3 linked regions of the Schizosaccharomyces pombe genome follow. Changing the gene in region 1 together with any one later gene gives a genetic interaction. Each region holds a gene or a part of one and is shown on either strand. Other genes may lie near its edges.

Region 1 (4,327 bases):
CAGGGGTCTTGAGGGTTGGTTCGTATTTATGCTTTTTCTCCCAATGTGGACTTCGTAATTTCTTCAATTGAAAGTCATCAGAACGAAAACAGACATGATTATTTACTGAAATTATTTTATTTTTCACACATTATATTAACCAATTTAGTATTGAGACAAAAATCATTCCATGTAGTAATGGGGTTTGCGACGATTCTTTATTCTATTTGGGTAGTACTTTCATCTTTTGTGATTCTTTCAGCATACCAGCTGGAAGTTCGCAAATTTTTGGTTAAGTTGTTGTCCAAGATAGTCATCGGTGCATCTGAATCAAATGTTGCTTCTTTTTTTGCTTTTGTTTCAGAGAAAAGCTTAGAAGCGGCAAGCGTTAAGTTCGTTGCTACTATAATTGCTGAGCGTATGGGTGCCCAATTTTCTTCTTTCTACGACAAAATATTTTTTGTTGATATGCTTGGCCTTGGATCCTTGTTTGCTTTGGCCGCTGTTAATGTACTTGCCGCCCGAAAACTCGAGTCTGAATTACCCGCATCTCTTGAACCAAGCATCGGTAACCGCGATCAGCAAAAAAATAGCTCACTTGCAAAATGCTTCAGTAGGTTATTTATCAATGATTTACATGGGACAACCGTCAAACGCTACCCATACATCTCTTATCTTCCTAACTGGCTTTTAGCCAAAAATAATGCTGAGCGTCTCGTTTACAAAAGTCACCTTTTATTAAACGCTTATTCACCTCCAAAATCTGCATCCGCATCTTCTGTTATTGTTTGGGTTTGTGGTGCTAAGAAATCCGAAAGCATTATCATTCCCTACCTTTCATCTTTAGGCTTCTTCGTAGTGGTTCCCAATTACGCCCAGCCTCCAAAATTTCCCCTTTCCGATGCCGTCGAATTTGTATCTTTGTGTGTAGATTGGATAGTAGAGAATGCCATCTATTATGATGCAGATCCAGAACGTATTTTTTTCCTAGGTGAAGATACTGGTGCGTCTGTCGCTCTTGAGAGTCTAAAACACATTCGACCAAACTCTGTAAAAGGCATTTTTGCTCTGTGTCCCCGTTCTATTCAAAATTTAGTGTGGACAAATCAATCCACTATTCCTATGATGACATTACATGCTGGAGATGTCAATCCGGTTAGCGACAGTAATGATAGAGAATCATCCGAAAAGGCATCATTGATTAAAAATTTTGTTGTACCTGGTGCTGTCCCTTATTATTATGAATTTACTTCTCCAAGAACAATCTCAACGGTATGTCAATATAGTAAATTCCTTATTTCGTTAATCGTTTACTAACCCGCCAGGCTACGTTCATCGCACGTTGGTTCTTCTTAGTAGAAGATAATAAGAAAACAATTTAATTTTACGAGTGCATTCCTTCTCTAGATGGGTAGTTTTAAGTTTGTTTTAATATTTTACAAGCATATGCTTTTTTGTTTGCTAGATGTTTCATCTTTTTTGACAAGCATCCCAAAACCGGATAGATATCTGTTTTAAATGAATTAAATATTATATTTGGTTATATGCTGTTTATTGTGTCTTCTTACTTAAAATTTCGATTGTGATATGAAATAACAAAAATAATGACAGCAAACAAGTTTTTAAATTGTAAAAATTTTATAAGTATTGTTCAATATCATTAGGCGTAACAGTATAAAAACAGATGATACTAAATGGAGTATTTAGGCAGCTGTCAATTATCTATATTCTATCAACTACTAATCTTAGAGCAGTAGTAAATTTAATGATTATATGGATTTTCCAGGTCTGATTAAAAAAATAAAAGAAGATCTAGAAAACCGCTTAGTTGAGAAATCTAAACAACCAGCATTCACTGATTACTGGTGAGTAGATGCTAAAAGTTAACGCATATGTAAAGAGTGGCTACTGACAATTTAGGTTAATAAACAAAACTATCAGCTTGTTAAAGGAGTATCCCTCAGGGTTTAGCTATCCCATTTTAATTAACGAGATTGAATTAGCGGTAAGGAATCTACTTACTCTACAAGTCGATAAAATCTGACATGCATGAACGTAGTGCTCGGAGAGAAATAAATTGGACAATGGTAACGAGAAAGTTTACTTTTTTTTTTGGTATAAAGAGATATTGACCTCCTTTTTTGTAAACAGTTTTTTCTTCTTTGGAATGGTTAACGAAATCAGATGCAGTTATTTATTTGGAAGACCAGTTTCATTTTCATTGCTATGATTATTATTATACCCCAATACCGTCTTTGAAGCTGAAAGATAGTGAGGAGAATACGTGCGAAATGATTTTGCATTCCAGTTTTTATTTACTCTTCCATGAACCATTTAACATTTTGAAAGGTGTAAGGTTTTTGAATATCATCTCCTTTATAACAGTGATTATCTAAGACCTTTATTTAGTCAACTTTACGCTTTTCTCAGTCACGCATCCATCAAAAATGGTATTTACGAAAGCAAATACGTTTCCTTCCTACAACTAGCTTTGTTCCAGTATTGCAATATGCTGCATCAAAAAGTTTTGTGAAATCAATGGTTGAATCAACTGAACATGAATTCTTTCAAATACGTGATATTACTATAAGCAAAAGTGATCAAGGTGTGAAACGAATTACTGTGGAATTGGGTCGCATCATTTCTTTAGACAAAAAAGGTGCTTTTCTTATAGACAACAATACCAATTTTATACATTTCTCAGGGACTTACCATGATTTCCCTAAGCTGCTAGACAAGCAACAATACCTACTTATTCCATTTTGGAGTACCGTTTGGGAAGGCAGTACCAACTGGCAGGATGGAATGATCGGTATTTTGGTAATTTTAAGTGAGAATGACTTTGAAGAAAAAAAATGCGACTCCTGGCAAGTGGGACGCTTAGCTGCCGTTAATTCAAATTTTCTTGTACTGGATAACAATGGTCAGCGAGTGAAGATATTGTATTCCAATTCTCAAAAGCATTATTTCAAGGATACCTATATTGGAGATTTGCTATGCATTAGCCCAATCAATCATTCTTCTGACAATCTAAGTGATTATTCATGCGTTAGTGACACAACGACTGAAATTCGTAAGAAATGGTAAATTTATGGGATTGAATATTGATTTATTTTAGTGTCAAACTTGGAGAACCCGTTATCCTCAAACTTTTTGAGAAATGATTTATGCAAGTTCTCCAACCTTTTTTCAGGTGTTTCTGGGCATTTAAAAATTCAACCGTTAACTTTGGTGATCACCGGATTTGTAGCGAGTAAGGGTTGCTTGTTTTACGAAATACTAATTGAATGATAGATTTAACCCGCCAATCTGATTTAAATACCAGTTTGGTCTTGCCGGAAGTAAATCCATTAACAGCAAAAATGGAGGTAATTGACTGTTTAAGGAATAGTTTTTGGGCAGCTTTACGACCGAATTGTGTTTCATATTTTGCGTCTATGATTTCCGGCTTTAAAGAATTATTCCAAAAAGAAATGGAATTTCCAATATACCTGGATTTGAAGTCGTACAAGCTCGGATTCCATTGGTGTGATATTTATGTGGACTCAGAACACAACTGCCATATACAAAAAATAAACTCTCTGCCGTGTGAATAGCCATCGCCATTATCTGAATAATTATGTCTAACAAATAAAAATCAAACATTGAATGTTTGAATGAAAAGATGTACAGTTCATTCAATCATTCTCCGTTTTAAAAGCTTAGTTTGCTTAATTTACTAATATACTACAGTTTAAAAGGCTTATAAATAATGCATTTTTCCAAAAAAGAAATTCAAAGTTAGAATATTAATTGGCTCACCCTTGTGAGAAACAAAGCAATACGATACAATGAACAGCTAAATTAACAAAATTATAAAAGAAAATGAATCCGAATAACGAAATTTGTATGCCAAATTAGAAAGCATACCAATAACGTTCAAAGTAATGATATAAATGAAAGTGATGAAAAATGATTTTAAGAAAAATGAGGTTAGTAGAAAAATGAAGACGTTCAAATTTCTTCCTCCTGAGAGGCAGCTTCGATAAGGTTTCTATTGGAAATATCAGAAAGATTGGAAGGAAGGAATCTACTGGACGGTATCATCGCCGGGATAGCGTTGGCAGCATAATCGTGGATATTTTGAGAATGTCTAGCTCTATAAAGACCAAAGGCGTAATTGGATGTTAGTAGACTTCCAAATACAAGAATGAGGGAAAAAACCATAGTTTTATAAGAAATATGACTTATAAAAGCGTCTATAATCTCAGCAAAAACTAACGCTGCCAACTTTGTAGAACCGACATTATTAGAACTTTCCATTTTACATTGTTTCAGTTTTTGACAAACTTCAAAAATAGCAGGTCCT
Region 2 (5,095 bases), on another chromosome or scaffold:
CAAACCAAAAGCCAAAGATGTGAAACTGAACGGCTCCAAATTAGAAATAGGCCAATTTTGATAGTTTAAAAAAAATATGTCGGAGGAAATAATATGCTGCATATTCACAAATTCAATTCCATTTAAACAATATCCAAATCAAAATTCCCAGTAAACATTTCAGTGCACGTTATAAGTTTCACGGGTTCCATCTCTTACCTTCGTAGCACATTCTACTGAATTAATTTTGCTAAGAAACACTTATTTGTTAGTAATACACCAGCACAAATAACCATACATTCTTTTTGGAGCTCCAGCAGTGTCATCTCAAAACGTCAATGTCCCGTATTCCTAAACGGAATAGCAAAAACTATACCTTTCAACACTTCAATGCTTACTCTTAAAACCAAGCAACGTCAAAAGAGTACGTGAAATTCGGATACGGTACAGAAATGCTGGTGGAATGTAAACGGTAGAATGATCGGATTACTGTAAATATGATCCACCTCGGTATTTATTCGGTAAGATTTGGTGTAGTAGCACAATAAATTTCAGTATATCTAGTGATTTAAATAAACTATTATTTTACAATATTATGAAGATTTCAAGTGTAGTTTTAATCATTAATATGGATTGTAAAAAAACAACAACTTATTATCACATTTCACCCTTCCATAGCTGCAAAGTGCAACTGCTTATTTACTATTTGCTGACCTACTCCTCGCATTGAATTCTGTACGAAAAAAGTAAATAATTTCAAAGTGAATAGGGTGTAAAGGAGTGAATGTCCATTATTCTTCATATATACAACCCATCGCATTGAAATTAGGCATAGTAATACGCGTATATAACGATTAGATATACATCTTCTACCATACCGCTAGTCCACCAACTAAAAAATAAGCAAATCCCATTTTGTCCTAGTTGGATTATATACAGTAGAACCATAAAGTGTCATACATTTGCATAGAAACAAATCCCGAGCACGAGAAAATTGCCGAAATTACCCTAATCCAAAATTTTTACGACTTTGCCAACTGCAACCGTAGTACCCTGATCACGCAAAGTGAAACGGCCCATATACTGATAGTCCTCAAACCTTTCCATACAAACCGGAGTTTGTGTTTCCAACTCTGCAATAATTTTCATACCCTTGGTAGCAAACATGGGGGGTTTCTTGCTTTTGCGGTTTGTTTTGTCAAGTTTATGGAGCAACTTGGCAAATGAAACTTCCTCGACAGCGGTATGAATGTGCATTACACAAGAATAACCAGTTGTCAAAATTGAAGGCAACTCAAGGATCGCAATTTGTGCAATGAAACGAGTAGTAGCATGAACTGGGTTTTTAGTGGATGTTAAAACATAACCAGTTTGGACATCCGAATCGTCACCACGGACACGGAGACGAACTTGGTCACCGCAAATAGAAGAAGAGATTTCTTCATCAGCTTCATCATATATGGCTGTAACTTCAAGGGTTTGATTAATTGGCATAACCAATACGTTTGAATTTTTCTTAATCGAACCAGCCTCAATCTTTCCTTCTAAGATGGTACCCAAATCTTTATACTTGGAGGCAATAGGCATGATGAATGGAGCATTCACTTTGCGTTCCAAATGAGTCATAGAATCCAAGTATTCTAGCAAAGATGGACCTTGATACCACGGGCAAACCGAACTGTCAACACGATCCTTAACGTTTTGACCAGTGTAAGCAGAAACGGGCATATATTTAACATCAGTCTTTGAGTTGTATCCAGCGACACGACGCAAAAACATGCTGAGCTTATCGACACATTCCTTATAACGCTCCTCCGACCACTGAACGCTAGGTTCGTCCATTTTATTAATAACGACAACTAGATGATTGATGCCTTGTGTACGAGCCAATACGGCATGTTCACGAGTTTGACCACCGCGCTCAAAACCAGCTTCAAACTCACCACGACGCGCTGAAATGACTAAAACACCAATATCAGCTTGAGAAGCACCATTAATCATGTTTGTAACGTAACCTTTATGACCCGGAGCATCCAACAAGCTAAAGCGACGGTGTTCGGTTTCAAAGTAAGCACGACCAACTTCAACGGTTTTACCTTTTTCACGTTCTTCAGAAGTGCTGTCCAAAGCCCAAGAAAGATACCAACTTTCTTTACCAGCTTCTTTAGCTTCTCTCTCTATTTTCTCCATAGTACGCTTGTCAACCATACCAGTCAAGAAAAGAATATTACCACCCAGGGTAGACTTTCCTGCATCAACATGACCTATAAAAACAATATTGACATGTTCCTTTCCATACATATCCTTCAAAAGCTCTTGATCAACCTCATTTTGTAAATCGGTGGCATCCTCAGTGACAGTGGCGGGTTCAGCTGCCTCAGCAGCTTTCTTAAGAGCCGCTGCTGGAGCAGAGGGTGTTTTTGCTAGTTCAGCATCAGCAGATTTTGTAGGAGTTTCCTGGGGAGGAGGAGCAGCGGTCTCCTTCTTTGTTGACTCAGAGGTAACCTTGGGTGCAGGGGTCTCTGTTTTGCTTTGTGCAGCAGGTGCTGCTGGTTTGGTAGTTGTAGGAGCTTTTGTTCCACCAAGGCTGATGCTAATGGGCTTTGTAGACTTAGGAGCAGAGGTGTTTCCACCCAGGGACAAAACCTTTCCTTTGGGAATTGCTGGTTTAGGAGGCACAAAACTCTTCTTTTTAGAAAAATCAGGGACACGGCTTTTATCTTCATCAACAGTGTTTCCTGTTGGCTTTTGGTAGTATTGCTGATAACTCTTCGTAGGATGTGGCGAGTTGCTGTTTTGTCCTTGGCCTGTATATTGGGCATAAGGATAACCACCAGCAATATTGTTCACAGGTACAAATCCGGGGCCTAGCAAGAAGTTAATAATTTTTTTACTTAAAACAAGCAATCATCTCAAGACATATGGATGGTGTTCTAATTAAAAAACGTACGTTGGAAAGAAGGAATGAAGGGAGCAGCTTTAGGCGTAAACGTAGGTGCCTTTGCAGACATCGACAGTTTAGAAGTCTGCTTGGCGAGTTGCTCATCCTGTTCACCGTTATTTGGCTGATTACTAGCCATTTTTTGCCTTTATTAAAATATGTGGTAAAGGGACGGTGATGTTGAAGAGAATTTACACCACAGTATACACTGTGTATTCTTTTATAATATAATATTACGAGTACTTACGATGATATTATTAGCATCCTTTATATAAGCTTGTGCTATAGTAATTCAGTTAAGTTCATAAAATATTATATTTGAGTTTAATTTTACATTTGGTTGTAAAATCGGAAGCAACTGAATTGTAAATTGGTCATTTTCTCGCTTTTTTCTTCAGTAATACGCTATTATTGTCTTAAACAGGTAAAATATATTGACTTGCCTTGGGAGATAAAAAACAGAAACTTCGGTGGGCTTAATACCAAACACAACATTTATTAGCTATTGGGTTGAACAATTAATCAAAAGTTTTTAAATCTATTGGTTAATTAGTCTCCATTGTCACCAATAATCACTGCAAGGATTTTGTCATGGAAGAAACGATGAATCAGCGTTACAGCTTCAAAATATATACCAAGCAAGTTCCAAAAGATTCAATATGTAAATCCATTATATAATTATTCACTTTAGGATTTCCTTATACAAAATTCTATAGGCGTGTTTGGATATTAAACTTCTATCCTCCACATATCACTATGACTTAGCGCAAGTTCTATTTGGTTCTCAATTTACTACGCTTCTTTTTATTTCGTTATTAATTTGTTGTTAAAAGGAATAAATACAATTTGAATGACCATTATTTATTTGTTTAGCCTTGTTTTCTCTTGTGTTTTTTAAAGCCGCCTTTTTAGAAATGGATGAATTACTTAATGTAGCTTCTCATGCTGCGACATTTGCTACGAACTTCGCGTTGAAACATAGTATATCATTTGCAGGAAAATTAGCTGTTCAGCAAGTTAGCAGCTATATTAAACGTGCCTCTGCAGATGATCAAAGTGAATTGGAGTCTGTGAAAACTCAACTGCTTGAAATGATTCGAGTTGTGACGCCTGCTATCGAACTAATTGAAATAATGTCAGTCGGTGAAAATGAAAATTTTAAGAGTACTAAGCAATTAGTGGATTCTTTGCACGCTGACATCGAACAATTCACCAAGCATGTTTTAAGCGCCGCTCATTCGGAATTTCCGCCTTCCTCAGAAAAAGAAACTTTGCAGAAGAACGTTGATACGTCTATTCTTCGTGAAATGAAAACTTTACTTCTCAAAATTAATGATGCAGTTCCTCTCTTAAATCTGTCCATCACTACTTCTGGTGCTTCTATTTCATCTTCTCTTCCAAAATCTACTTCATTTTCCCAACTTCTACGAGCTAATTCATACATATATAGGGCGAATGTTGCATTTACTGGAAATGAACCTTTACAAGTTGGCCCCACATTTTTCCTGCGAACTTATAAAATTATAGATAACCACGCCAAGTCTGGTTATATAAGCAATGATTTAGTCATGTGGAAAGAAGAGATGCCTGTTTGTATCGCCAAAATGTTTCGCATGCCTCCTCAACGGTTGAAGTCCAAGGATACGGTTCTAGCCTATGCTTTATCTTTAAAACAATCTTTTGATGATGATCGTTACCATGATGAAGATGAGACTCCTGTCACCAAAACCATTTCACTAAATGATGTGCGCACGCTTTTTTTTAGTTTGTCCGGTAAACTTCTTCGGTTAGATGATGTACAAACTCCCGTATTATTACTCAAGTATGCAGATGATGAAACAGAGTATTCTTCAAATACAGCACCTTCGAACTGGATAGCTTTAGAAGCACTTCCTTTGGTATCAATACCTAATGAATCATTAGACGAATCTGATGAACTTGCAGAATCTCTTAGTGATTCTGAAGCTGCTAGGCTACAGCTTTTAGGCATCAAAAAACAAGAATCCGTTGCAAAGAAAAAGTCTTCCTTTCCATCGACTATAAAAGATCAACCTAATTTAACTTTACTGGAGTATTTGATTAGATTATGCGCGCTCGAAAGTACTACCCAAGAATCAGTTTTACAATTACCTGACGAACAAATTGCATTGTATCTTAAAGATTATCAAGGAAGAG
Region 3 (5,912 bases), on another chromosome or scaffold:
TCTACCTTCACTCACCCTCTGTACTTCTTCACTGTATCTCGATCGACTCGGACTCTGCACCTCTTCACTATATCGGGGATGCGCCGGTCCCTGCATCTCACGTTTCTTGTTCACCGCCCTTAACAATTCCACCCGCAAAAAGTGTTCCACTCCAAATTGCTGTGTTTCAAATGTTTCCGGACATTCCTCCGGCACAACCATCGAAGCGCTCATGTTTTCCAACTCAAACACTCCCCGTGTAATTCTACACCACACTTTTCGCGTCGCCCTCTCCGTCCCTACGCTGTTGCGTATACGGATGTCTGGCACAATACGCTCCACACTTTCAAGTTGCATATGCACTTGTCGAACCATCGCGTCCAGTCCTTCTAGCTCAATCATCATCATCTCTCCTGTCCGATATCTGCTTTTGCTCAAAAGCAATCGACATAACACTTTTTGTTTGCTTGTAATCTCAAACCTCGTGGCCATTGGTTGCTTGGATTCGAGTTTTTTTAACAACGCAATTTTTTCTTCATCCTCTTCCTCTAATACTTCTTCATTGATCTCTGACCTCATTCCATGATCTTGGAATTCTCCTCCTCCCTCTTCATTAGACTCTCCATCAAGTAGCTTTTTTATGTGTTGCTCGTATTTCTTTTTTTGCTTCTCTTCCTCCTGCGCATCCTGCGAAAGTCGTATACCGTTTTTACCGAATTGCCTACGTGCTTTCTCTGCTGAAACCTCTTCAATTTCTGCCGCATCTGTTTCAATAATCGGTTTGGATAAATCTGCAAACAGCTTCGAGGATTGTCTGTTTCCCGAATTCTTTCCGAGTGGCAGTTCAGGTTGCTGTTGAACGTTGGGTACTATAGTAATTTCAAATTCATGCTCTACACAAGCATTGTTGGTAGCTGATTGGACTCCTATGACCAGTGCGTGTTGAAATCGAAAGGCCAATCCTTTATATGTAGGTGCTGTTCGAAGGGGAATTCTTCGCTTCAACCGAAAGCATTTTTCCTCTCCAGGAGAAAGCGTGATATCGACTCCTAATATATCTGGACGAGTCAGTAGCACTGGAATGGCATTTTCCTGCTTTTGTTCTTTATCGGTTAGTATTCATGCTTAAGCAGTAGGTTGCAGTAAAAATAAGAGTAACCATCTTCCAAAAAAAAAAAAAAAAAAAAAAAAAATTGAATAAAGAGTAAATATGTTTCAAATGAATTACAAAACTCTTCCCAGACAACCTTTCTGTAATTCGTCAATTGACTTTATGTCCACCTCACCGTATAAGCACTCTTCCGAGCTATATCTTCCCTCCAAATGTAAGCCAATTGAGAGATTTTTTTTACCAAGTCTTTATTTCCTTTTGCACCCTTTCACCATTACATACCTGAGGCCTCTGTCAATGTACTTGCTTGTTTAACTCCAAATAAATTTCCAATCATCCCGTTCAGAGTATTAATAACAGAATAACTGCTGGATACCTTGGGAATATGTACTAATCCGCTCATTGTCCTTTTGTTTAAGAGCCCCTGCCTCTGAACCTCATCGAATTCTGTAACGCGCACCAGTACATAGTCAAGGTACATTTCACCATGGATAGAAGCATAGCACAAAAGTAAATTTACATCTTCTGAACTCCTTAGATTCGTGAATTTTACAATGCACTCAAAGTCAGTTCCGGATTGAACTACATTCACTGGCATGTACATTTGCACATCACATTCTGTCATTGTCGAACACCACTAAACTCTTATATTCGATAATTTCTCAAGCCGCTGGCTTCAGCTTTACCTTAATAATAACCATACAACTTGGATTTCTTCATTCGTATTGACGAACGTTTATTAGTCTCGTAACAAATGCACAATCAAAATAGTACTGTAAAAGAGCCCACTTTTCTTCCTCCACGACTCATTTTACGAGATTAAATAACGAACGCCCACAATCAATTTTTTACACTCTCCTTACTATTCCTTAATTTACTCATTTACGAATGTTTTAACGAAGCTTTGTTAACTCTCTGCTTTTGGCAAATTGTCACATTCCTTGCTATTGTCGCCCAATATACATACATACACTGCTTTTTTGGAAGTTAGACAGTAGCTTCTCAGGAATTGGGTAATTGTTATTCATCGTCGGAAATGAGTAATTCTGACATTCGAAGCTTCTTTGGAGGAGGGAACGCTCAAAAAAAGCCAAAAGTCTCACCGACTGTATGTTTGTTTCTTCAATCAGTCAAATTTGATAAGCTAGTCATTCATTTTCTAACGTCTTTGTCTAGCCTACTTCCCCAAAACCAAAAAGGAGTTTGAAGAAAAAAAGAATCGTTTTATCAGATGATGAAGATGGTACAATAGAGAATTCAAAAGTTCCTGCATCCAAAAGCAAAGTGCAAAAACGGTTCGTTTAATTCGGGTTATCAGTTTATATTTCTAACCCTCCAACTAGTAATGAGTCGGAAGATATTTCCCATTCTTTGCCATCCATTGTTCATGAAGACGATAAACTGTATGTTTATTTTACTTTTACCTCATTATGCGTTGTTCGCTAATTTGAATTTTTGTTTAGTGTCGGTTCAGATGGAGTTTCAACTACACCTGATGAGTACTTTGAACAACAGTCTACTCGGTCACGTTCTAAACCGCGGATTATCTCCAATAAAGAAACTACTACTTCCAAAGATGTCGTACATCCTGTAAAAACAGAAAATTTTGCCAATGACTTGGATACCACTTCAGACAGTAAGCCAGTTGTCCATCAAACTAGAGCTACACGTAAACCTGCTCAACCTAAAGCAGAAAAATCGACAACTTCAAAGTCAAAATCTCATACCACAACTGCGACAACTCACACAAGTCGTTCTAGCAAGTCGAAAGGCTTACCTAGGTTCTCAGACGAAGTTTCCCAAGCCCTCAAAAATGTTCCTTTAATTGACGTAGACTCTATGGGTGTGATGGCTCCAGGTACTTTCTATGAACGGGCGGCTACAACACAAACTCCAGGCTCAAAACCCGTCCCTGAAGGCAATAGCGATTGTCTCTCGGGAATTAGCTTTGTTATTACAGGAATTCTAGAGACTTTAACTAGACAAGAGGCTACAGACCTGATCAAACAATATGGTGGAAAAGTGACAGGTGCACCTTCTGTTAGAACAGACTTTATTCTCTTAGGTGAGAATGCTGGTCCAAGAAAAGTGGAAACAATTAAACAACACAAGATTCCTGCTATTAACGAGGATGGACTCTTCTATCTTATAACTCATCTTCCTGCTTCAGGAGGAACGGGTGCTGCGGCTCAGGCTGCTCAACAGAAAAAGGAACAAGAAGAAAAGAAAATCCTTGAAACTGTTGCGAGAATGGACGATAGTAATAAAAAGGAATCACAACCTTCACAGATATGGACTTCAAAATATGCGCCAACTTCTTTAAAGGATATTTGTGGTAATAAGGGTGTCGTTCAAAAACTTCAAAAGTGGCTACAGGATTACCACAAAAACAGGAAGTCCAACTTTAATAAACCTGGACCTGATGGTCTGGGTCTATACAAAGCCGTATTACTCTCTGGTCCTCCAGGTATTGGCAAGACGACTGCTGCTCATTTGGTAGCAAAATTAGAAGGTTACGATGTTTTGGAACTGAACGCTAGTGACACTAGAAGCAAGCGCTTGCTAGATGAGCAGCTGTTCGGTGTGACAGATAGTCAATCACTTGCCGGCTACTTTGGCACAAAAGCTAACCCCGTTGACATGGCAAAGTCCCGACTTGTACTCATTATGGACGAAATCGATGGCATGTCATCGGGTGATCGTGGAGGCGTTGGTCAGTTGAATATGATTATTAAAAAAAGCATGATACCAATTATTTGTATTTGCAATGACCGTGCTCATCCAAAGCTGCGGCCCCTTGACCGTACTACGTTTGACCTCCGTTTCCGTCGGCCAGATGCTAATTCAATGCGATCCCGAATAATGTCTATAGCGTATCGTGAAGGTCTCAAATTGTCACCACAAGCAGTCGATCAACTGGTTCAGGGGACGCAGTCCGATATGCGCCAAATTATTAATTTGCTATCCACTTACAAGTTAAGCTGTTCAGAAATGACACCTCAAAATAGCCAAGCTGTTATTAAAAATTCTGAAAAGCATATCGTTATGAAACCATGGGATATCTGTAGTCGTTACTTACATGGAGGAATGTTTCATCCATCAAGCAAGTCCACCATTAATGATAAATTAGAGCTGTATTTTAATGATCACGAATTTTCTTATCTTATGGTTCAAGAAAACTACCTTAATACTACACCAGATAGAATTCGTCAAGAACCACCGAAAATGTCACATTTGAAGCATTTAGAATTAATATCTAGTGCTGCTAACTCCTTTTCCGACTCTGATCTTGTTGATTCAATGATTCATGGTCCTCAACAACACTGGTCACTTATGCCAACCCATGCTCTTATGTCTTGCGTGCGACCTGCTTCTTTCGTGGCTGGTTCCGGTTCCAGGCAGATTCGCTTTACTAATTGGTTGGGTAATAACTCGAAGACAAATAAATTATATCGTATGCTTCGTGAGATACAAGTACACATGCGTTTAAAAGTATCCGCTAATAAATTGGACTTGCGGCAGCATTATATTCCAATATTGTATGAGTCTCTGCCTGTAAAGCTATCAACAGGCCATTCAGACGTCGTTCCAGAAATCATTGAATTGATGGATGAATATTATCTAAATCGTGAAGATTTTGATTCAATAACGGAATTAGTTCTTCCTGCAGATGCAGGTGAGAAACTCATGAAAACCATACCGACTGCTGCAAAATCTGCATTCACAAGAAAATACAATTCTTCGAGTCACCCCATCGCCTTCTTTGGAAGTAGTGATGTTTTACCTATGAAGGGCTCTGCTCAGCGCGAAGTGCCGGATGTCGAAGATGCAATTGAAGCCGAAGATGAGATGTTAGAAGAAGCTAGTGACTCAGAGGCTGCTAATGAAGAGGACATAGATTTAAGCAAAGACAAATTTATTTCGGTACCAAAGAAACCTAAAAAAAGGACTAAGGCAAAGGCTGAAGCGTCCTCTTCTAGCTCAACCAGTCGCCGATCCAGAAAAAAGACAGCTTAAAAAGCTCTGAAAATATTACTTTTACGGATTGTATATGAGTTATCGGGATTATATTGCTGAGTAAGTGAAATTTGCGAATACTTTTCAATTACTTTGCAACAATAGTAAATAATATAGATTTTTTGGTGGATTTTACAGTTCTGGTAAGATATGCTCAAATTTTCTTAATCTTAAATGTGTGTTCTTTTGTCCGTTACATACTTTAATGTTTATAAGATATATTATATCATATTTAGCATGACCGTATTTGCAAGGTTAGATTTAAAAATTCGGTGAGTGGTATTTTCAATAAAGCTATCGTGAACCATATCATTTGTAATTGAGTCAGTAAAATAAAAGCTAATTGACAGGCGGTTTAAAATGTATAAAATTATTTTTATTATTAATAATTATATCGTTTCATCTAAGTACGCTACATTGCTGTGTTAACTATCAGAGTTATGGTGAGCTAAGTGCTTAGTAAACTTAGCAGAGAGCATCTGAAAAGCTGCCAAATACCAGAATGCTTGCATCAATTGAGGAAGCAGTGAATGACTTTCGTAAGCATATTTCTTTTTAAAAAGATAAAACGCTAATATCATGACAAGGGGATGGAAAGTTTTTAATAGTGTTAGACGATGAAACGCGTGAAAACGAAGGAGATCTGATTATTGCAGGTTGCAAAGTTACTACCGAACAAATGGCATTCTTAGTCAGGCATTCTAGGTATGCAAAACGACATGGAATTGTTTGAAATGCTAATAAATAGTGGGTATGTCTGCGTACCCATGACTGGTGAACGTTTGGATTCTCTAGAAATTCCTAT

Evidence for each region.
Region 2: of cdc24 (region 1) and sup35, a mutation in one rescues a mutant of the other (synthetic rescue), as found in Schizosaccharomyces pombe (one study listed by BioGRID).
Region 3: of cdc24 (region 1) and rfc1, extra expression of one rescues a mutant of the other (dosage rescue), as found in Schizosaccharomyces pombe (one study listed by BioGRID).

What each region holds. Positions count from the first base shown.
Region 1 is NC_003424.3:2,863,213-2,867,539, reverse strand, and holds cdc24 (DNA replication protein Cdc24), read left to right. Parts: upstream 1-1,713; 5' UTR 1,714-1,752; coding exon 1,753-1,844; exon of another isoform or gene 1,845-1,899; coding exon 1,900-1,984; exon of another isoform or gene 1,985-2,038; coding exon 2,039-2,066; exon of another isoform or gene 2,067-2,130; coding exon 2,131-2,330; intron 2,331-2,388; coding exon 2,389-3,052; intron 3,053-3,097; coding exon 3,098-3,232; intron 3,233-3,273; coding exon 3,274-3,575; 3' UTR 3,576-3,810; downstream 3,811-4,327. Other genes in the region: SPOM_SPAC8F11.08C (esterase/lipase), read left to right, coding at 178-1,251, 1,305-1,361; brr6 (nuclear envelope protein Brr6/Brl1), read right to left, coding at 3,973-4,327. UniProt on the Schizosaccharomyces pombe protein: Has a role in the progression of DNA replication and in the maintenance of genomic integrity. Acts during S phase, after initiation, where it is essential for completion.
Region 2 is NC_003421.2:1,533,417-1,538,511, reverse strand, and holds sup35 (eRF3-like class 2 translation release factor sup35), read right to left. Parts: upstream 3,114-5,095; 5' UTR 3,060-3,113; coding exon 2,930-3,059; exon of another isoform or gene 2,896-2,929; intron 2,847-2,895; coding exon 988-2,846; 3' UTR 501-987; downstream 1-500. Other genes in the region: SNARE-binding protein Sec1, read right to left, coding at 199-239, 278-305; SPOM_SPCC584.03C (GTPase regulator), read left to right, coding at 3,835-5,095. UniProt on the Schizosaccharomyces pombe protein: GTPase component of the eRF1-eRF3-GTP ternary complex, a ternary complex that mediates translation termination in response to the termination codons.
Region 3 is NC_003423.3:3,852,157-3,858,068, reverse strand, and holds rfc1 (DNA replication factor C complex subunit Rfc1), read left to right. Parts: upstream 1-2,046; 5' UTR 2,047-2,126; coding exon 2,127-2,198; exon of another isoform or gene 2,199-2,266; coding exon 2,267-2,385; exon of another isoform or gene 2,386-2,433; coding exon 2,434-2,493; exon of another isoform or gene 2,494-2,553; coding exon 2,554-5,107; 3' UTR 5,108-5,412; downstream 5,413-5,912. Other genes in the region: rgp1 (protein sat1), read right to left, coding at 1-1,082, 1,373-1,715; rib3 (3,4-dihydroxy-2-butanone 4-phosphate synthase), read left to right, coding at 5,610-5,646, 5,695-5,812, 5,856-5,912. UniProt on the Schizosaccharomyces pombe protein: The elongation of primed DNA templates by DNA polymerase delta and epsilon requires the action of the accessory proteins PCNA and activator 1. Subunit 1 is essential for cell cycle progression.